Caenorhabditis elegans: one gene and its partner. The protein of the gene in region 1 interacts with the protein of each later gene in a pairwise test. Each region holds a gene or a part of one and is shown on either strand. Other genes may lie near its edges. The genes, in order: R11F4.2 and cyd-1.

Region 1 (10,158 bases):
ATTGTAGGATTAATCTGATATTCCTATTTACAATTTGAAAAAGAACGTGCGCCGCGGTCGCGTCGCGGTTGCATTGCGGTTGCGTCGCGTCTCCAACGTGCCTATGCTGCCTGCCTGAGTAGGTGGGAAACTTTACGTTGGTAAGTGCAAAAATCTCTCTTCCAGGTTGAAAGCAAAAAAAAATAGGGGGGGGGGCAGATAGCTCAGTCGGTAGTGGTGGCCGCTAGCAGTCTGGAGGTCACGAGTTCAAGTCCGGCCTCACCCCCTAGGTTCACCCAGCCTCTATTGGGAAGTGGAGCAATCCACGACTGGATTATCGGCCACAGTCCCCGGCTAGGACGTGGCTTAAATTACAGCCCAGAGGGATCACCACCAGGCAGTGTACCTGAAACCCAGATCCGCAGTGCATAGCACTTGAAGAACGGATCGTCCTTTAATCCTTTAATCCTTTAAATAATTTTTCGGCAAAAATGACTAGAATTAGATTACCCAAGTGACCTAAGTTTAAATCAAATATATTTTTTTCCTGGAAAACTCTAATTTCTATCACATACCTGCAAAGTGGATCAGATCAGGAACTCCACTTCCAAGAAACATTAACATAATTTTATCAATTTTTGATCAGAAATATGTTTTGTGAAATTCCCAGAAAATCATTCCAAAAAAATCACTAGATTCTTGATCTCCAAACACATAGGTATTCCCATGTTCCCACAAATTGAGTCACAATCTTGTTTTCCCATAAGTCGGATAAGTCGTAAATATTAAGATATATAAAAAACCAATATCCCGGATCAGAAATTAGTTTTTCCTGTCCTGGCAAGCTTTGATTTTTGACAACACCAGGTAAGATATGAAATTTTCAAAACATATCTGTTCAACCTCAGCCCTCTAAATCCAATCGAATTAGCTGTGGAACAAAATCTTGGAAGAATTGTTTTCAATTTTATCCGCTCCCATTTGTCTTAGTTACAAAGAGGAAGCCGCTTTGCTCTAAGAGGTTTTTTTTTGTGATCTCAGCAAGCACTGGGAGAGCCAAGTTTACATTTTCCGTCATAATAGACATCAATCACAAACTCAAGATTTGTTATTTGTAGAAATGCTTGTTTTAAGCAATCTTCGGAAAAGTTTTCAAAATAAAAATATAAAATAGTTTTGCAAAATGTTGATTTCCATCAGTATCTCTAATCATTTTTGTATGTGAGTAAAAATTATTACTATGCGGAGAGGTACTGTAGGGATACTGTAGGAGCACAATTTGATGTTTTGTGTTGTGAACTCAAAAACCTCAAACATTTTCTATATTCCTTGCCGATCCATAAATCCTTGTTTTATTTTTCTTGCAACTTTCAAAATTCTTCAAATTTTTACAACTTTTTCTTTCATTTTTCCAAAACTCCAAACCCGGTTGCTCGGCTACTAAAAGTAAGAAACTTTTTCTTGAGAGCCAAAAAGTTCTGCTTTTTTTCCCACAAACGTTAATATTCGTGATATCGTGAGAAATGGTGGTTTGGGGGTTGCGGCTTCGTTACAAAACGTATTCTCGATCCTAGCCAGATGACGTTTTGATATTCTTTTAGAGCATTTTCTGGAGCTTCACGGTAAATTTTTTATTGCGAAATTTCAGAATGTTCCGGAACTAAAGAAATGTGTATACCCTGAAAGATAGAAAATTTTCCATCTAACAGTTATTCCTTTAACCCCTCGTCACTTTCTCGAAATATTCTACCCTATGAAGACAAACACCATATGTCATAAACAAATGTCTGGCCAACTCTGTCATCAATAATTCACCTATTTTTGGCCATAAAATTGGTGAATTTAGTTGTTTAATCTCGCGTTTTGAGGTGGACAGCTCAAAAGTACTTGTTGTTTCAAAACTAGTGCAATTTTTAAAATTGGCTGGAACAGGCACACGCACCACACACGCACCGCACGGTAAATTTTTAAAAATTATCGATTTTATTAATTGGAAGACCGAGACCTTGAATACTTTTCCTGTAAATTTGAATTGAAATAAGGTCTATTTTTATATCTAATTTCATGGATTATTTCTCTCCTCTTTTTCTATTTGAAAATAGAAGACAGGACAATAGAGAAGCCAATGTGCACTTCTTTTTTTGGGGTCAGGTCTAAATTTTGTTATGTCTAGACCCCCCACTCCCGAAAAAGCCAAAAAGAAAACGGGAAAATTGATAATTTGTGACACAAAGAGCTATTTTACGGGGCGGAGAGGTCATCCTACTTCCCTTGACGGGAGAGTTATGCACACATTTTACAAGGAAGTTAGATGAAGAAGTGCGAGAGGAGTACACTGATGGATTCCCTTGATTCTCACTAATAATTTACATATTAAGTTTGAGGAAGATGACGGTGACCCCTGATTTGATGTCATTTCATCAGACACATAGCTCAATTCTGCGTTGCCAAAGGTCAGACAGGAACGAAAATACTTGCCTGACCAATGCCTACCTACGTCTAAATCACAAATTACCACTTTTCACGTCTTAATTGGCTTTAAGTAAAAAAGTAAATTTTGGCTGTAGGCAGGCGCGTAGGCTTGTAGTCAACCTATTGTCAATTCAAGTTTCTTACTTCCAGTTCCTTCAAACTTGAAAACAATCTTTAATTTTGTTGTTCCTTTTTATTTTTCAATTTCCTGTTCAGTTTTCTTATTTTCCTGTGTTTTTCAATTTTTCATTTTTCCAAATTAAAAATAAGATCATGTTCAAAAACCTTTCTGATTTTGAATGTAAACTTTTACTTCTCAAAACTTCCTTATTCCTTTTCGGAAAGTAGGTAGGTAGGTATGTAAAAACAAAGCGATAGATAGACTGGGTAGGTAGGCACAAAGGTAGGCAGGTATAAAAGTAGGCATAGATTTTGGTAGGCAAGTACATAGGCAGTTATCTAGGTAGGCAGTAGTGTAGGTAAGCATGGTTTTCGGTAGGTAGGTACGTAGGCTGACTGATATAAAGGTGGGCAATGGTGCAACTTAGCAGGGATGTAGGCAAAAATGTAGGTAGGCAGAGCTGAAAATAGGAAAAATCACGTTAGAATTCAAAAAATAAGCGGTAGGCAGGCACGTAGGCAGGTACCTAGAAAGTAATTCATTTCAAAGATCATAGATATTTAAACTACATTTACGATCTAAAACATCTGTGAAAATCCACGTGTTGCGTAGAGCCTGAAAAGGAAAAGGTTTTCAGCCGTTTGTAGATCACTGGCACTGATCACCCGCCAATTTTGACGTCCCCCCCCCCCCCCTGCCACGTCACCTCCTCTCTACTTTTTCGACGTGTGTGTGCTCGGCGAGCTCTCGCCTTTCATCTTCATCTGATTCAATTCCTCCATTCTATTCTGCAAAGGAGAAGATGCCTCGGCGGCGGAGCCAACCCCAACTCATCCGTGAGCTCCGCCCCAAAAAAAGAGCAGGCAGTGCTCTCCAACACACATGAATATATGAAACATTTCATCTCATTTCGAATTCTTTGGATCTGCTCTTTCTTCTGTTGTTGTGTCTGTGTGTGTATGTGTATGTCATTGTTGGGTCCTTGTATGTCTTCAAATTCCGAACAAATTTTTGTTTGAAAACCCGCAATTTCCCTGTCTGGCGGTGTGCTATTTATTCACTCAGTGTTTTTTGTTCGAATTTCCAGCCAATTTTCAATTTCAAAAGCGCCAAATTTTCGGGAAAACCTGAAAATAATTACCTTGCAAATATCCCCACACCCCCACCGACACCCACCCACTTTATTTTGAAAAACATGTTCTGAGATTTTTTGAAAAGTTGAGAAAAACACGACAATTTTCATTTCCAACTTCCTTGCTCTTTGCTACGAGGTGTTTGATTTTTTCTCAAAATGCTTACGATGAGGCTTTGGCTTAGGCTTAGACTTAGGTTTAGACTGAGGCTTAAACTTAGGCTGAGACTGAGGTTTAGGCTTAGGCTTAGGCTGAGGCTTGGATTTAAGTTTGGGCTTAGGCTTATGCTTAGGCTCAGGCTCAGGCTTAGGCTTAGACTTAGACTTAGTCTTAGGCTTAGGCTTAGGCTTAAGCTTAGGCATAGGCTTAGGCTTAGACATAGGCGTAGACTTAAGCTTAGGCTTAGGCTTTGGCTTAGGTTTAGGCTAGGCTTATGCTCACAGGGTTTAGCCTGCAGGGACTTTAAAAACGAATATTAATAAACCTACATTGAAGTTTTCAAAAAGGAGCAAAACAATTCTGTTGCCGAATTGCCGAGTGTTCCGGCTTTTTGGATAGTAATATTCTATGCGTCATCCGGTTTCCCCCAGATTTCTGAGCTTTTCATTCTATTCTTTTAAGAGCGGTTTTTCTCTCACGCCATCACCCAACAAAAAGAGCACCCACTCATCTATTGCAACTTTTCTTCCCCGATTTTGTTCCATTTTCTTACTTTTTTTGCTACGAAAAGCTCAACCCGGGTGGTCCTTTTTGACCTACCTACCAATTTCAAAGGAAATCAAATTGATGTTTGATTCTAGGAAAAGAGATGTCTCTATCTATCTCTTATCCTTTTTTCTCATTTTTTTCTCTATGCAAATTTTAATGGAAACTACTTAGGATGTGGACGGACCTAAAATTGATTAGAATTGGCTTCACTGGGTGCATAACCCCTCAATTTTGAGCTGTAAAAAAGTTATTTTGAAAGAAAAAAATGTTATAATTTTTTTGATCGGTGTTTTACAAATGAAATTGCAGCTTTTTGCAAAAAATAAAAATTTAAAATTTATTCTTTTCAAGTAGATATACCGATGTTTTAAATATGAAAAACAAGGGAAGACGCAGACAGCGAGAGCGTCTGTATCTCTGACCTCTGCCCTCTCCCTCTCCCTTTCTCTTACTCCCTCATTTTCAAATTAACGAAACTCATAGTCAGCGAATATTTGAGCAAGTTGAAAATTTCCAACTGCAAAACTGTTAAAAATTCGATTTTCTATCTATCTTGTAATTAATCTCATCTCTATTGACAGCCCTTAACTCAAAAATTCAAGTTTTCAGCAAAATGAACATCACAGAAACAGCAGCAATGAGCGAGGCGTGTATGGTGGAGAGCCTGGATCGACGATGGTACCTGGTAGCAGTTTGTGGAACATCATTATCGGTTTTATCAATTGTTTCAAATATGTTGATATCAAAAGTGAGTGTTTTTCATAGTTTTGATTTTAATTGGAAAATGCTTAATTCAGCTTAATTTGACGAAAATTTTTGTCTTTTAAAATTGATTTTATTTTCGAAAAACTTAAAATTTTGCTTTTCCACTAAAAAAAGTGTGGTCTTTTAAAAATAATTTCATTCAAGATTTGTCGGAAAAAAGACATAAGAAAACGTATTAGAAATATTCAAAAATTCTTTTAAAAAAAGTTGAAAAATTGAGAGAGTTTAAAACAACTTTGAGAGTTATAAACAAAATTGCCAAAAACCCATGTTCTTCACACGAAATTTCAAATGTTTTGGGTAAATCGTATGGCGACCAATGAACGATGAGGTAGGGGAGGGGCCAGCGCCTGTGATTGGTCCAATTGTTAGCCTGACCAATCAGCAAGGCGATCGGGTCTGCAATAAGAAAACATCTTTTTAATTTCCAGGTCCTACTATCCTCGAAGCACACGCACTTCTACTTCCTAGCCCTACTCGCCTTATCCGACTGCTTCTTATCTCTAAACTACGGTCCCGTGATAGCAATGGACATAATCAAAGATCGTGTGAAACTGCGTTGGCTCTCAAATCTTTATATTCAATACGTGGGACCCTTACTTGCTCTCTCACAAACCTCAATGACTTTCTCATGCTACCTGATCATCCTGGCGACCATCGAGCGATATCTGATCACACTACGCGCAAAATGCCTCGGCACATTTCGACAATGCCGGGGACTCTCTGCACTTTGTATGTTCATTTTGGCTCTGTTGCTCAGGGCGCCCATCATTTTCGAAATGCAAATAGAACAGAATCCCGATTGTATTGGCGAGATTAGCGAGTACTATTTGAACTTGTCGCCGATTGTGAACACGTTTTGGTATGGAACTGTGTACCGGTTTTATGTCAGGTAGGTGCAGGGATTTGTTGAAAAATTGGAGAAATTACAGAGAGAAATGAACTGAAAATTTTTGAAATTAAAAAAAAATTGTTTGTCCGATATTTTTGAATCTAAAATTTATTTTAAACTAAAATTATCAACAAAAAATAGAAAAAAAAATATAATTTCAATTTTTTAATTGCATATTTGACCTAATTTTGAATAATTAGACTTAAAAAAGTACTTGAAATTTCAAAAGGAATTTATCGAAATTTCAGAAAATGGAAAACTCTGGAACATTTTTTTTATAACAAAGTATTGTTTTTAACCAAAAGTTTTTCAAAACTAGGTCGCCTACCTACTTGCCTGCCTACCGCCTATTTTTCTGTACTTTTGGCAATAGGCATGAGTGTAGGCACAAGGCAGATGTATAAACCATGAAATCAGACCTACAACTTGCTGAAAATAAAAAAATTTAAAGTTTTCCGTATCCTTTTTCTGCTCAATTTTGTCTCTATTCAAGCATCAAAAAAGTTATATTAAAACAATTATTTAAAAAAATAAAATACCAAGCCAAAAAAATCTTTCAGAAACATCATGACAGTCCTGGTACCCTTCGTTCTGCTGGCCATTCTTAATTACAAAGTCGTGAAAATTCTTCGAATGCAGCAGAGATCGGCGCAAATGTTCCGTTTTCTATCAAGTGATCATAAGACGAAAATCCGATCGGCAACAATTTTGATGGTATGTATCGTTTTCTCGTATCTTCTCGCGAATATTCTAAACGTCGGTGTCACACTGTGGGAGTACGTGGCATTTCAATCAACACAAACCGGAGACGCTTATGCGGTATGTTGAAAAGTTGCAAACAGCAAACTACAAACTACAATTCCCAATTTCAGTTCTACGAAACTTGCACCGATGTGACGTCAGTACTCTACATTCTGGTGTGTGCCACGCGTCTTTTTGTATATTATTTGTTCAATCAGGTAGGTTTTTTTTTTTTTAATTTTATCTGAAAAATTCTTTAAAAAATGCCTGATTTCTTGGATTCCCGCCAAAATTTTCTGATTTTTTTCCGAGTTTTAGAAATTCCAATTTCATAAATTTCACAGCAAAAATTATGCATCTAAACTTCTCTCAGAACCTTTTCCAATTCTCATAAAATTTAACAAAAAAACCAAAGATTCCAGGAAATCCGCGAAGCCATCAAACCTCTCGTCTGCCACAGCACGAGTGCTCCTCGCAAGCAGGACTATGTTACAGTAACCCGAAGCTTGTAAGTTTGTCTAAATCAATTTTTCGTAAGCAGAAATCTGAAACCTATCCATCACCCTGTCACTGAGTCCCGTTCTCTCTTTCAGACAATCCATGCCGTTGGCGGTAGTGGGCGCCCTAACATTCCTCGGTCCAAGACAGACCGGCATCGTGAGAAATCAGCAAAAGTAGGGGAAAATTAAAGTAGTTGAACTTCTGCTATCTATTTCGCATGTCTACTGTATCTCAAACTTCTATCTCCCAGACTCTCTTTGCTCTCCTCCTAATAACTTTCCGTCACAAGCTTACTTCTAGGCGCACACACTTTTACCAATCCAGTAAGATGTCGGCCGCAGCCCATTGACTGCAGCCGGCACTTCATGGGCCAGGCTGGCGTATGCAGGACCGGGTTGGCACGTGAGGTGTCCGCAGCAGATTGCAGCCGACATTTCACAGGCCAGCAAAGCTAGCGTTCGCCTAGCTAGCCAAGCTTACGAGGTGTCGGCTGCCGTCTCGTTTCCGCGGCCGACACTTTACGAGCCACCAGCTATCATCCTACCATTTTATCTTCCAGTTAACATATACTTCTTTCAGCGACTCCTCCCGCCAAATCGGAACCGAAATCGATGCTGTAGCAATTGCCATTGCTCGAAGGCTGCTCTCGAGTGAGCTCGTCTTCGGAGGTGGAGGCACCAAAGAGGCCAACGACTCATACGTCATCTCAAACCACCACGCGACCACATCTGGAGACGAGGAAACCGACGACGACGACGACGATGAAGAGATTCCATATATGGTTTGAGAAGAAGCGGCTCCATATATTTGCACATTCTCCTCACCCACCTCATTATTTTTTTCCTTTCTGGATTGTATACTTTACTTTTTCTTCTCCTCTCTCATCATACATATGACCAATATCACGGGGTAAAATAGCGAAAATAAATTGGTATGTTTATTCTGAATGGGGTTTTGCACAAAAACTATCAGATTCACATCTCATTAAAAACCGGATGCTCTTTCATGTCTTACTTGGTGAAAACTTCGGGAGACAGACACTGGGGGTTTCTTCAAAACCTGCTAAAATTAAAATTGAAGTTTTGATCTAGAAAAATTTGATCTACAAGTAAGGGGGGACCCTAATTTCAGCAAGCTTACTGCATTAGATTTTTCAAATTGAACAAGCCCGGTAGATGTCGGCCGCTGGAAAAATTAAAATTTTGTAAGACAGGAGCGCTTTCTTGTCAGTTCGGAGTGACCATCTGAGCTTTTTTCGAATTAACCAAAGCAGCTGATATATTGAAGATTTTAGTTCAAGCAGCCGAAACTTTAAAGGTGTGTACTATTCTCTGCAACCGACGTTTCACAAGCACTTCTTTCAACAAGCAACATTTTACAGGTACTGTGCTTAGCGGCCGAGGTTTCACAGGTAATTATCAAAACAGCTAAAATTGTAAGGCGCATGCGTCTCCATGCGTCTCTCCATTTACAGGCCCAATTTCGAGCAGCCGACATTTTACAGGCACTACTTTTACCAGCCGACATTTAACAGGACTTCAAATTTTTTTCTATTCAAATTTTGCATTTCAAATTTTCAAACTTCAAATTTTGCATTTTTCATCGATTTCAGGTGGTTTCAGAGCCTTACTTAAAACAAAAGTTCAACATTTTATTATGTTTAATAGTTTCACTGATTTCCACTAAAGCTCCCACAAAACTCCTTCTAACCAGGACTTTTCCACGTGTATTTTGCTGTTTTTGTTCATTGTTCACCGCTCGATTTCACGTGTGGACGGGCACAGTTCACGTGAAATGATGTCCCATTCTACCGTACTCTTTGTGATAATGGCTTATCATTTGTAGAAGCGGAATGTGAAGAAGACTGATGAATGATAGATTGAAACTTTCAAAAATCAAATTCGTAGGTTTTATGAATTTTTTTTGGGTTTTTTTTGTTCGACAAGAAAAAGGCAGACATTTTTTTGCAGAAAAAAGGGTGTAAAGTCTGAAAAAAAAGCGATCGATTCAAAAAGTGTTCAAAAATCATACAAAAATTGCTTTCGCTGCGGGATCCATTTTCGTTTAAAGACCCTTTTTGATAGGATCAATCCTTGATTTGACGTCTGTTCAATGATAACTTTGTGAATCCGAGGTCAGACCGATTCTCGCTTCGGGACCCTTTCTGATTCAAACGAATATCTCAAGATGTTCAAAAGATTTTCTTTATTTTCCTAAACATTTTGTGTTTTTCACAAGTCACGTCATTTCATTGACGTGGCTCCCCTCGAAGTTCAAATGCTCAACAAGAATCTTTTCTCAAAATCTTCCTCCAACAGCTGTACTCGAAGGGCCCCGTATCATTTATCACTTCCCCCCCCCCCCCCTTAACTCTCTTTCCCCTGTCTCGTATTCTTCAAAGATGATAAAGACAAAAAGTGAATCGTTCGATAAAGATAGAGAGTATTGAACACTTTCAAAAGTGTCATTAGTGACAATTGTTATTGCTTTACTCCAGTAGAATAACCTGTTGGAATCGGGAAAAATGCAAAGTTTTCAGGTACTTTTTAGACGAAAAAGTGCTGAGATTTGAGATGGGAAACAACAATTGGAAATAGGAGAAAATAGAGAAGATCAATTTTCAGCTACCAAAATATAAATGGTTTTTAAATTTTAAAGCAATTTCAACCAGGGGTGGGCGGCAAACGATTTTCATCGACAAATCGATAAATCAAAAAATTTTCGGAAATGGAAATTCCCGACAAATCGGAAAACCGGCAATTTGCTAATCGCTGAATTTGCCGGAAAACCGCAATTACCGAAAATTTACGGCAAATAACTTTTTTTTTTGGAAACTTCAGAATTTC
Region 2 (11,725 bases), 8.9 Mb from region 1:
CATTGCAAAAGATAAACATGTTCATCATTTCCAGAGATAACCATCACCATCACTGTATGTGTATGTCCTCACACAGTCAACTCCTCACAGCAAAAAAGATTGGAATCTTGAAAATCGGTGAGTATCTAGTCTCGAGGTGTCAATCACCGGACACACTAATTGCCAAGGATTTCCCCATAGTTTTCTACACTTTTTTCTTTGTTTTCAAAAAACAATCCTCTATACATATTTGCACGCTATACAATTATGGTATGTTTATTGTGCCATTTTGGAGCCCAAAATGTCACAAGGGCGCCCAGCTTGACCTATCGGTTTGTAAACTGATAAGAATTGTGTTGAGATTGTGATTGAGAGAGTTGACCAATGCAATCTTACGATTGTTTGAGTGCGGAGGCAGGAGAAAAAATTTGTGGGAAAGTGGGGAAAGGTCGTGAGAATAAATAACTGTACATTTATTGAACAAAAAACTATTCAAATTTCTGAAAAACTGTCCATGATACCTTGATAACGTTGAAAAAAAAGAGCAGCCGACAAAAACCTGTTTTTGCAAAGTCTCATTTGTCTACGGCAACTCTCCCAATCATGCACCGTGATGGGAATACTGTAAGACTACGCGTGGTGCCAGGCTGCCCCATAACGGTTTGATCTACAAAAAATGCGCGAATTTTTTGCCCAAAAAAAAGTGACGTCAGAACGTTCTTAACCATGCAAAATCAGTTAAGAACTCTGCGTCTCTTCTCCCGCATTTTTTGTAGATCTACGTGTGGTTTAGTTGGTACCAGGATTTCCACAAGGGCCCGAGTTACGCCTCGGAGGGTGGAATTTCTAGTTGCTCCAACACGCTCCATCTCCAAATGCTTCCGTTCACCCCCACCCCCCCCCCCCCCACTATTTCCCTTATCACTAGTGATCCTTATCAATTTCCATTCAATCATAATTTCAAAGCCTCGATTATCATCATCAACCACCTCGTGGTCTCCTCGTATTCTCTTTGAACTCGGCGGTCGACCCCAGTGACGTGTTTTTTCAGTACCCCAGTCGGTACCGGCACAAGGTTGACACGAGAAAGTTTGCCCTTTTTGGAACAAAAAACTTCTCTGGCTTTTTTTCACTTTTTCTCACCTATTCTGACATCACTCATATAAAAGTTGAAAAAAACGACGAAGAACAGAGGAGAAGACGGCAAACATTACCGGTGATAACGTTCCCTTTTGTGCACTTTTTTAGCCGACTGACTGGTATGTATGAACTGGCTAAAAGTGCAGGCCTGATCTCATCGAGCTGTGGAATGGGATTTGAATTTGCCTGGCACGAACCAATTGAGCAGCTTATTGAGATGACATTGAGATGACAGGAGCACCATTTCCGATAAAGACCATAGTCCTGAATAGCTAAATAATTAAATATTTTGGAAATTAGATCAATTTTCAGGTAAATAGTTGATACCGTAACTTTAAGAATTCGATTTCAAAAACTTTGAATATTTTTCAAATTTCAAAGTTTCCGGACTATATTGAAAACTAATTGGGCAAAAATTCAGAAAGGTTAGAAACTTGAACATTTTAGAAGTATGAAAGCTGGGGTTCAGCGCAGGCACAAACATGCCTACCCGCCTGACTGCGGTCTAACCTATATTGGAGGATGCCTAGGCCTATTTTACCATTGATAATTTTTTTCAAAGGCCTACGGGCCTTGTAAGCCTTGTAGACACGTAGGTTTTTTTGAATTGAAAATTGAAAAACAATACACAACAAATTGAAAACTAGATCTTGAAATTTAAAGAAATACTGGTGAAAAGATCTCCTGGCTTTATTTTTAAAAAACAACGAATTAGGCAACATTTCTGAAAATTTGGAAACTTGAACACCTTAGAAAAATCAAACGCCTACCTGCAGGTCTAACTCATATTGGAGGAGACCTAGGCCTGGTTTACAATTGCAATTTTCGTAAGCCTACAGGCCACCTTCTAGGCAGGTAGGCTATTTTGAACTAACAAATGGAAATCTGTTAGTTGAAAGTTAATAGGGATTAAATTTTTGGAATACATTCTTCTTGAAATAAAATTATATAAGAGATTCTAGATTTCAATACAAACTCCAAAAGTAAACGCTTTCTGAAGTTTTTTTTTTTTAATTTCAGGCATCAGGCATCATTTCAGGCAAAATTGTGGCAAAATTTTTGATTTTAGCTGAAAATGAGCCCGCCATCACTTTTTTTGAGAAATTAACAAAACGTCTCATAACAAAATTCGGCAGTTTTGGCTCATTTTGGGTCTAAAAAGCAAAGTTTTAGATTTCGGTACTCCACCGCAAGGCGAGTGGCGCGACAACAAGATCCCCTCAAACAATTTCAAAAAAAAAAGTTTCAAAAAGTCTAGAGCATCATTATTTAAACCTGAATTTAATTCTACCTGGCACGACAAATCATCATCTCCGAGGGGCGCCGAAAACCGAACGACCTTCCATCATCATCACCTCCGTTCATCATTTCAGTCATACGCGTAGGTAAATGTGATTTTGTTTCTTCCAATTCAATCACGGAGGTCGAACAACACAAGAGGCCACACGCGATCCCCAGATTCGGGTGACAAATGTTGCGTAATTTACATGGAAAAAGTGCATGAGAGGGGGGGTCCGACCTCCCAATGCGCGAACGATTCTTTGTCTCTGAATTTTTTTCGGTTTTTTTTCTAAAAGGCATCGCTTCTTTTTTATCTAATTATTTGCCGTGTCGAAACACAATCACCACACAAAAAGGAAAAGCCATCTGTCAGCAGTTGGGGCACGATTCCCGCATAGTAGGAACGATGCGCACAGGCAGATAATATTAATGAGAGGAGGAGACGTTTGAATTCCCCTACAGAAGAATGACAGTTGGTTTGGCACATTGTTGAGTCCAAAAGTGGGTGCCATAATGAGCTCAAGAAGCCGAATAATGGAGAGACAGATGTTTTCGGAGAGATTTTAAAGGAGATCAAACAGTACTTTCCGGTCCAAAAATTGACTGGTAACAGTTGGCTTAAGAGCTTTTTGACCTGGCCGCAAATTTTATAGTTTTTAGTTTGGAAGTTTTGAAGTTTTGAAATTCAATAGAATTTGAAATTCGACTTTCTTACAGTTTGATTGAAAAAAAATGCGGGAATTTTATGTCCAAAAAATGTGACGATGCAAAATCTGTTGAGAATGCGTCTCAACTCTCTCATTTTTTTTCTAGATCTACGTAGATCAAACCGAAATGGGACACTCTGACACTAAATCCTTTGTTCTTTCAAGTTGAAAAAGTTTGATCTACTCAAAAATGAAGGACTCCGGTAGATCAAAAAGTGGTGGAAAAATTTTAGTGGAAATCGATATTTAATGTGTCTATTTTACTATTACATATTTTTCTAGCTATCTTTTCAATTTTTTGGTTTGCAACGGTTTGTTATGCGAGTTCAAATTTTTCCAAAAATTTTATTTTAGGCAGAAAAACAGTTTCTTGCCTTGCACTTGTACCTACGTCTTCTTTGATATGCCTGCCTTGTGCCTACGCCTTCTTTATGCCTATACTTGTTTTGGGTCGAAACTTACGTCTACCTTGCCTGTATATCTGGCAAAAATATGGGCCTACCTATCCATAAAACATTGATTTTTGCTAGAAGAATCCCATGCAAACCAAAATTATTTTGATATTCAAACTTCCCCGTTCACCTTTTTCATAATTACCGCAACCCAAATATCAGATAATAACTCTTAAATAATTATCCTATCACGCAATGCTCATAATTTCAACATGCCCCCAACTACGCAATAGTACACACACATATTGTAATATGGATATTGTTGCATACATATCTAGATATATATGTATATACTCAATTCACCTACGTCATCTTGAGCACCTGTTGCTCGACCTGCTGTCGGCTCGTGGGTGGCCTGTAGATCCGCCAAATCGTTTCTACCACCCTCCCGTTGTTTTCTATTTGTCCTACTGGAATTGACCTCTTCTTACGCAATGTGAGTTCTCCCGCTCTACGTCATCAGAGCACGCCAATTGCCCCATTCAACAACTACACACACCTATCTCAATCAGATCTTTCACACTCTCTTGTTCAAATATACGACTGGAAAGGTCACACTTTTCACTTGTCCATCATCAGATTAGTGTCGCATTAGAGGGGGAGATGGTGCGCGAAAACTGATAGCTGAGCCCTGCTATGATAGTCCCTTATTTGCCTGTGGGAATGTTAGGGGAGTCAAATGAAATATAAGAAGATGTTTGGAAGAAGAAGAAGAAGGTCAGCCAGATATGGGCAGCTGGCCGAACACCTGGTAGTACGTGTGGGATGGCGCATCCCAATCTCTTTTACTACCATAATTTTCTCAACTTTCACTTTTTCTACTTTTCTAAGATTACTTGAGTGTTAACCTTCCATATCCACCTCTCCCCGTTCCCTGCTCCGTCTGATTTGTTGCTTGTCCGGTACAATTTATGAGTTTGGGAACCCACCACTGTGTTCAATGGGTGGCTCCCAAAACAATAGGCCAAATGTCGTGTGTGTGGTTTAGTGTTTGGATGAACTTTTTAAAGGTGGTGGGGGAGAAATAAAGATACAAAAAAATATATATATATGCTGCCATGGGAGACAAATTTTTGAATTTGAAGGGTAGCGTAGATGTTTAGAAAATGTCAAAAATTTCAGTCCAAGACGAACTTCAAAATTATAGTAGGTCAAAAAATCACTTTTTGACTGTAAAAAAAATTACAAAAGACATTTTAGCCTTGACAATAAATAACATAATTTCTTATTATTTTTCCAGTAAAAGAGCCCCCGTAAGAAAAAATCCTATATATTAACATTAATAGGCGCTTTCAGGTGTAGCGTAGATGTTTAGAAAAGGCCCGAATTTCACATAGATTTTTGGACACTTTAAAGGAGATTTGGCCCTTAATATAGTTTTGGTAGTCTAAAACTACCTAATATATGATAAAACAGTCTGGATTTATTTTAAGATTTTTCAAAATTTTCAGTCTAAATTTTGGCAAAAAAAAACCAAATATATATGGACTTTTTCAGTAATTTCGAGCATTTCTACAAGTTTTCATCCCTATAATATATGAATACAAAAAATTAAAGCCTGTCAAAAAACTGTGAAAACCCACTTTTTAACTGTAAAAAAATTATAAAGGGTATTTTAACACTGACGATAACTAACGTCATTTCTAAATACTTTTCTAGTAAAAGAGCATCATAAGAAAAAATCCAAAATGCTCAAAGTATTTTAGGTGATTTTAGAGCATATCACAAAACTTGAAGTTTCTGCTGTATACTTGGAAAGGCTAGAAGATGCGTAATTTTCTCTGTTTTTCAAAATTTGATTTTTGTTGATTTTTGGAAAGTTAGAAGCCTATTTAGATAACTATCAAAATTTTATTGATTTTTAAATTTCAATTAGTTTTAACACTTTTTTTTTAAACATATTACCCAAAAATGTTAATCATTCTGAACGTTTTTATTTTTTTTTGCCTTATTGACACCCTTTACCTGTCTAGACAGGAAAAGCTGCTAGTACCCTCCGTGTCTCCCGTTAACCTTGGAACTTTGCCAAACCGGAAGAGTGTAGTGATTTTGACACCTTTCTTTGTCAAGGACGTAATTATCGATCCGCAGTTTGTTTTTTTTTCGTGGTCCATAACTGTGCACCAATCAATATTTTAACACCTTATGACCCCCGCCAACCTCTTCCCAATATTGCAATTTGCCGACTGCTGACCCAGTATCCCGCTGTCTTTGGGTCATCTGCCAGCTCGTCGTCGTTCAGTCAGCAACATCAGCGCAGAAGTATTTTTCTTCATTCTCAAAAATCCCAAAACCCCCCGTCTTCATCATCATCACCTTCATTCCTTCATGTGCCTGGGGGAGACGGCTGGCCCTGGGGGGAGGTGGGGGAGAGGGTGCGCAAAAACTGGGCGGAGTCCCTGGCAGTCACCCGCCTCCGGTCACTCGACTGTCATTGCGAGTCAAGGTGCCGTACCTTGACTTACTTTTTTTTCTTGCTTTCTCTCTCCACTTGACAATTTTCTCAAATTCACTAACTTTTTGAGATTTAATAATAAGCATTAATAATAAATTCCTGAAGTTCCATTTCCAGATGGACTTTGAGTCGTCGTCGGCTGGTCCGAGCACATCTTACGCAGAGGAGCCATGCACATTATCGATGCTTCCTCAAGTTTCAGCAGTTTTGTCGGAAACATCTATTACCGAGGTAACATTTTTTTTTCTGGTGTTTAAGTTGTGTGTGTGTCGCAGTAGGAGACTTGTCCTTCTCTATTTTTTTTTGGTAGATTTTTTTCGGCAAAATTTTGACACCTTTTTCGTCGCCCACTCTTTTTCTCTCCCTCACGCTTAATTTCTAATTTTCCTCCAAGTGAAAAAAGATAAGAATCTTCTTTTCGAAAATCTCGACCACTTCATCTATTCAACATGTATGTACATAATTATTGATTTTCAATTTTAAATTTTAAAGTACAATTTTAAAATACAATTTTCAATTTTCCAGTCAAATGTGAGCTGTCAATTACACCCATCTCGATCGGCTGCTCTGAACGATAATGTCCGAACACTGATTTATAACCGTACGGATCCTCATATTCAACTCGACATGCGAGCCTTCTATAACTGTATGGAGTACGAGGAGGCGCTACAGCCCAACTATCACTACTTCACCGGCGTTCAGGAGAACATCACGCCGTTTCATCGAGAGCAGGCGATCGATTGGATTTACGACGTGGCAAAGGAGGAGAATTGTGATGGCGACGTCTTCTTGTTGGCTGTTTCGCTGATCGATAGGTTTATGTCGGTGCAGAATATTTTGAAGCATGATATTCAGGTGAGTATATTGAGTATGTTTGGAATTTCACCTCTAGTGTTAGAAGTACATAAACTAATCCTCCTGCCTCTCCTCCCATCATATCAACATTTATGAAATCAGACCCGTTCAGATGATCGCCGGAGTCGCGCTGTTTATCGCCAGTAAACTGAAGGCCCCACATCCGATGACCGCGTCGAAGATCGCCTACTACTCGGATAACAGTTGCCCCATCGATATGATTCTTCAGTGGGAGCTGCTCATTGTGACGACACTTCAATGGGAGACCGAGTCGCCGACGGCGTTCTCCTTCTTCGACTTTCTCGCCTCAAGAATCCCACAGATTCACAACATGAGGGGCGACTTTCAGACAGTTGTGCAGAAGTGCCAAAAAAGTGAGTTTTCATTTCTTTCATTCCACCTAGTCCAGTAGTTTTTTTTTTGTTCCTTTCACTCCCCCCCCCCCCCCCTGGTGCCCTGGCGCGTGTCATTTTTCAATCGGAAGGGTGTTCTTTCTCCCGTCTAATCTCTATAAAATCGAAGTCGTTTTTTGGATGATGTTGTGTGTGTGTGCGTCGCGTGTCCCCCATTCTTTTGTACTTATTGCCGGCGGTGGGCCACCCATACAGGGTTCCCGGGGCGAAAAAAGGAAACAGAGACAAGTTTTTTTGATGGGTGGTCGTAGGACTGTGCGGTAGGGTCGGGCGAGCGACACCGTTGCATTTACATAATGTGGTGGAAGGGACAAGAAAAATGAGATTTACTAGGATATTTTTGGCCGGGATGAGGGGAGAAAAATAGCTTCTAGAAAAGAAGGAAGAAGCCTGTTTTTTTTGCACTTTCCATATTGATTCATCATTACCAGCCTAATTTAGCCTAATCCACCTCCACCTAAGCCAAATCAAACAAACAAGTTTCTTCTTTCCAGCACAGCAGGTGGGCTAGTGGGCCAGTCTTTGTCTAATGAGCTTAAGTCCTATCTCCCCAAGGGAAAGTGTCCTACCTATCGAAAAAAGTTCATCTTAGACCGAATTGAATTGAGGAAAATTTCGGAATTAGCCTATGCAAACAGTCCAAAAGTTGTTAGTTGTTAGTTTTTGCGTACGGCTCATTGGTCATTTGACACGCGCTGACCTAGGTTTTAGCGCCTTTGTTAAGGCTTCCCACCCCCCAACTACAGATATAAGATACCAAAAAGTAAGTGAGTCAGTACCAGGTACACAAAATTTTGTGCGTCCTCTTTGTTCTCAAGCCGTCCTCCTCTGTGGTGACACACTGAGACGCTAAAAAATGACTGTGTGTGTGCGCGTGTGTGTGTGTGGGGTAGTACAATTTTGCAATTACTCTTAAGAACATCTGGGTGAATATCTGAATTAGAAGAATATGGCTGTAAATAGTGACATGACAGCCCAGGTGGCCCGGGTTCAATTATAGATAGCTATCTCCCGGGCGGCATGGCTTGGGGGGTGAAATTAGTGGGCTCTTAGGGAAACCGTTTAACTGTTGCGGATCACTTGACACCCGAAACAATTAGAAGGCGACTCCCCTTAAACACATGTCGCTTTAATCCCGGCGGTTGAAGTGACTTCAAAGAATAGGCTCTACAGTAGGCAATACCTTTTTCAAAATGCCCTTGTACCTATTGCCCAATGTTTATTTGAACAAAACTTCCGATCGGCATCGCCTTTGGCAACTTGATAGCGTGATGGAATGCTCTGATCGATCATCTCGCAGTGTTTGCCCCCCCCCCCCCCCCCCCCATATCCTTCTGCCTTAATGGATGTTCAGTTATCCAAACGGATTAGGAAAGTTGTGTCCACCTGGCGCGTGCCTACCCGTTGATTTATACATTTGGAAGATTTGGGCTAGATTATGAAAGAATACCGTGTGTGTGTGTTTGTAGGTATGTATGTATGGGGGTGAAAAGGAGTGAAATCTGCGCTTCTTGATTTACGATGACGAGCCCCCGTGATGTTGTGCCTGTTGTTGCGCGGCCCTCACACACAAAGAAAAGTTATGTCGCAATCTGCTCTTCCAAGACACCACCGATGACAAGGGATGTATATCATCTACATTAATGTTATGACAGTATGGGAAGGGTCATCTCTCTGGGGCAACTGATGACATTTGAATTTGAAATTTGAATGGAGATCATCGTATAATAATGAATGTTTCATCAGCCAAGGCCTAATTGATTGACAGTGCCCCCGTAGTGGAATTTGAAAAGGAGCAGCTGAAGAAGGAGTCATCAATCGTTGGACATCCGTTTGACCGATATATAAATTCATTCGCGGTCGATTACTTTTTTATTGGGATTACGGAAGCGTGTGCCATCCTCATTGAGGAGGATGAGATGCTTCCCAGATTTTCAAATATCTTTACATCATCACCATCATCATCATCGTCTACCAGCTGTCATTTCGGGCGGTCTATTCAATTATGCAACATGACCGCGCGATCCTACACATACTGTCAACAGGTGCTCGAGGCTTAAAAGGAGCATAGCCTAATTGCGCATGTTTGAATGGGCTTCTGGTGATTTTTTTGACGCAAGGCATTGTGAAGAACGTGTGATGTCACAAGCGGTTTGGAGAGTCGGTTTTGAAAAAGGAGTGTGAAATTACATGAAAATAGCACGACGACCTTCCTCTACAGTAGGCAAAGTTTATGTTAGCACAAGATAAGCGTTTTACCTCTCTCTCTCTCTCGGCAGCCAGCCCGTTTCAATTTCAAAATTTTTGGCGCGTCAGACCCCTGGAAGATATGTATGAAGGTGTGAAAACGCGCACTTTGAGGCAGAGAGAGTTCCACTGATGTTTCAGACGCCCAGACACTTAGAGACTTGTTCGTAGATAATCATCTATGTCCTCCACAGCCACCCTCTTCGATTTTTCTTAATGATTGAAATCGAAACCTTGAGGCGCGAGCGAGCGAATGATTGGCAGAGGGAACAGTGATGAATGGGCCAAGGGGGGAGAAAAGATTGAACTTAAATTTTGGAATTTTGGAATTTTAATGATAAAATCAATAATATGAATATTGGTTTTTCAGTGCACAAACTTGCCACCTTATTCCCATCCATGCAATGTGCAATTGGCCTCTACTACGTATCGAATCTCCCAACACAGAATAAGGAGCTGGCAGTAAAGATCAAGGATCTCTTGGCAAACATGTTCCAGTTGGAAGTGGTTAGTGAAAAAAAAATCAGCACTTATAATTTCTTATCTAAACCTTTTCCAGAACCTTCTCGACTCGTACATCCCGATGGTGCAGCGTTGCATGAGCACAACGCCAATCTACACATCAGAAGATGCTGAGAAGACGGAACCGACACCATCCGCGCCGGCCTCCACTCAAGAGCCAGAGGCCTTCCAAGAGCTCAAGGAGCTCAAGGAAGAACCCCTCCCAACTCCACCACCAGAGGAACCTGCCTTCCAGAAGCTTGTGCTCCTCGAGCCGATCCCCCTCTCCGAGCAAACTCCATCAACTCCCCTCAACGACTCGGGCTTCTCGTCTGATGTCTCCAGCCCCGCATCCTCAGAGAAGAAGCGTCGTCGGAGCACAGACTGGTTTGAGGAGGACTCGACGCCGCCGAAGATCTTCAAGACTTTATGAACATTTGTTACCCATTATTTTATGCATTGTTTAGCTTCTATGTCGATTCGAAACCAAATCCCAAAAAATCTCAAAACACATCCAGTCTTCCATTTTCTATGTAGCTTTTGCATTATTTCCTAAACTTTAATTTTTAAACCGGTGTTCCCAACAAATCTTCCAGTTTATTATTCTTATTATTCTGAAAAAAATAATATATATATATATTAAAACATTTATTCTAAGTTATTTCCACCTCCCTCCCCCTCTCCGAGAGTTCGGATGTGCTCGAACCTTTTGTTGGATTTTCCTATGAAATTCCAACTGCTTCCTGGTTCTTGTCACATCCACGACTTCGTTTGTGATTAGTCAAATCCTGCCCAAGCCTCCTCCCAAAAATTAATCATTTCTATACTAGAATTCCCACTTGCTTCTTTCATCTTTTTTCCAGATCCCTCTTGCTCAATTCGCTTCCTACACCCAATTCTGATGACCATTGAAATTACTTGTATTGTACAAAAATTCTCGCTGTTTCGATGATTACTTTTTTCTATTTGTGAAATAATAAAGATTCCCCACAACCACCAAACATATATTTCACTATTTACCCGGAATCACCATATGACGTTGTTTGACCCTTCGAGGTTGTGACGTCACACAGACCCCCACTTCTAGAGTTGCGTCAAACTGCAAGCTCGTGAAGCGAGCACTTATTCAAATCTTGACCATAAGCGCAACATACATTATTAGCATCTGTTGATGACGTTGAGCTTGCGCTAGTAGAAGATCAGAGATATGTGAAGCAGGTGGACGGGCCCCTTTTTTTATAAAACAGTGCAAAAAAATTTGTTTCTTGTGACGAAATTGAATTTTTTCCAGCAAATCGGCAATTTCTGTAATAATAGACAAAAAGCAAAGTTATCTAAAATCTCCAAATTGTGCTTGAAAATCGGAAAACCGCTTAGTTTTCATCTGGAACTTGTCTAGAACTGGAGAAACACGTGGCGTCAGTGTGTCCCATGTCGGTTTGATCTACGTAATTGCGGGAATTTAGACGTAGACTTCTGAACTGGATTTGCATGGCTAAGAGCGTGATGACGTCACATTTTTCTGGGTTAAAAATTCCCGCATTTTTGTAGATCAAAACGTGATGGGACAGCCTGGAGAAAGTTTTTCTTACAAGCCAGAACACCTACAATTAAAAATTGCCAATCTGTTATAGATTTTCAAATTTTTCAAAAGTTGTAAAAAATTTATTGGAAAAAAACCTTCTTATCAATTTT

What was found.
Region 2: the proteins of R11F4.2 (region 1) and cyd-1 interact in a two-hybrid assay, tested with the Caenorhabditis elegans proteins (one large-scale study listed by BioGRID).

The regions. Positions count from the first base shown.
Region 1 is NC_003280.10:4,078,043-4,088,200, forward strand, and holds R11F4.2 (G-protein coupled receptors family 1 profile domain-containing protein), read left to right. Parts: upstream 1-5,011; 5' UTR 5,012-5,050; coding exon 5,051-5,161; intron 5,162-5,609; coding exon 5,610-6,070; intron 6,071-6,630; coding exon 6,631-6,889; intron 6,890-6,942; coding exon 6,943-7,029; intron 7,030-7,233; coding exon 7,234-7,319; coding exon of another isoform or gene 7,320-7,323; exon of another isoform or gene 7,324-7,346; intron 7,347-7,891; coding exon 7,892-8,099; 3' UTR 8,100-8,255; downstream 8,256-10,158.
Region 2 is NC_003280.10:12,982,092-12,993,816, forward strand, and holds cyd-1 (G1/S-specific cyclin-D), read left to right. Parts: upstream 1-6,131; coding exon 6,132-6,245; intron 6,246-6,539; coding exon 6,540-6,869; intron 6,870-6,981; coding exon 6,982-7,243; intron 7,244-7,374; exon of another isoform or gene 7,375-7,558; intron 7,559-9,899; coding exon 9,900-10,036; intron 10,037-10,088; coding exon 10,089-10,463; 3' UTR 10,464-11,026; downstream 11,027-11,725. UniProt on the Caenorhabditis elegans protein: In association with cdk-4, regulates the progression through the G1 phase of the cell cycle during postembryonic development. Regulates proliferation of the coelomocyte lineage and intestinal cells during late embryogenesis.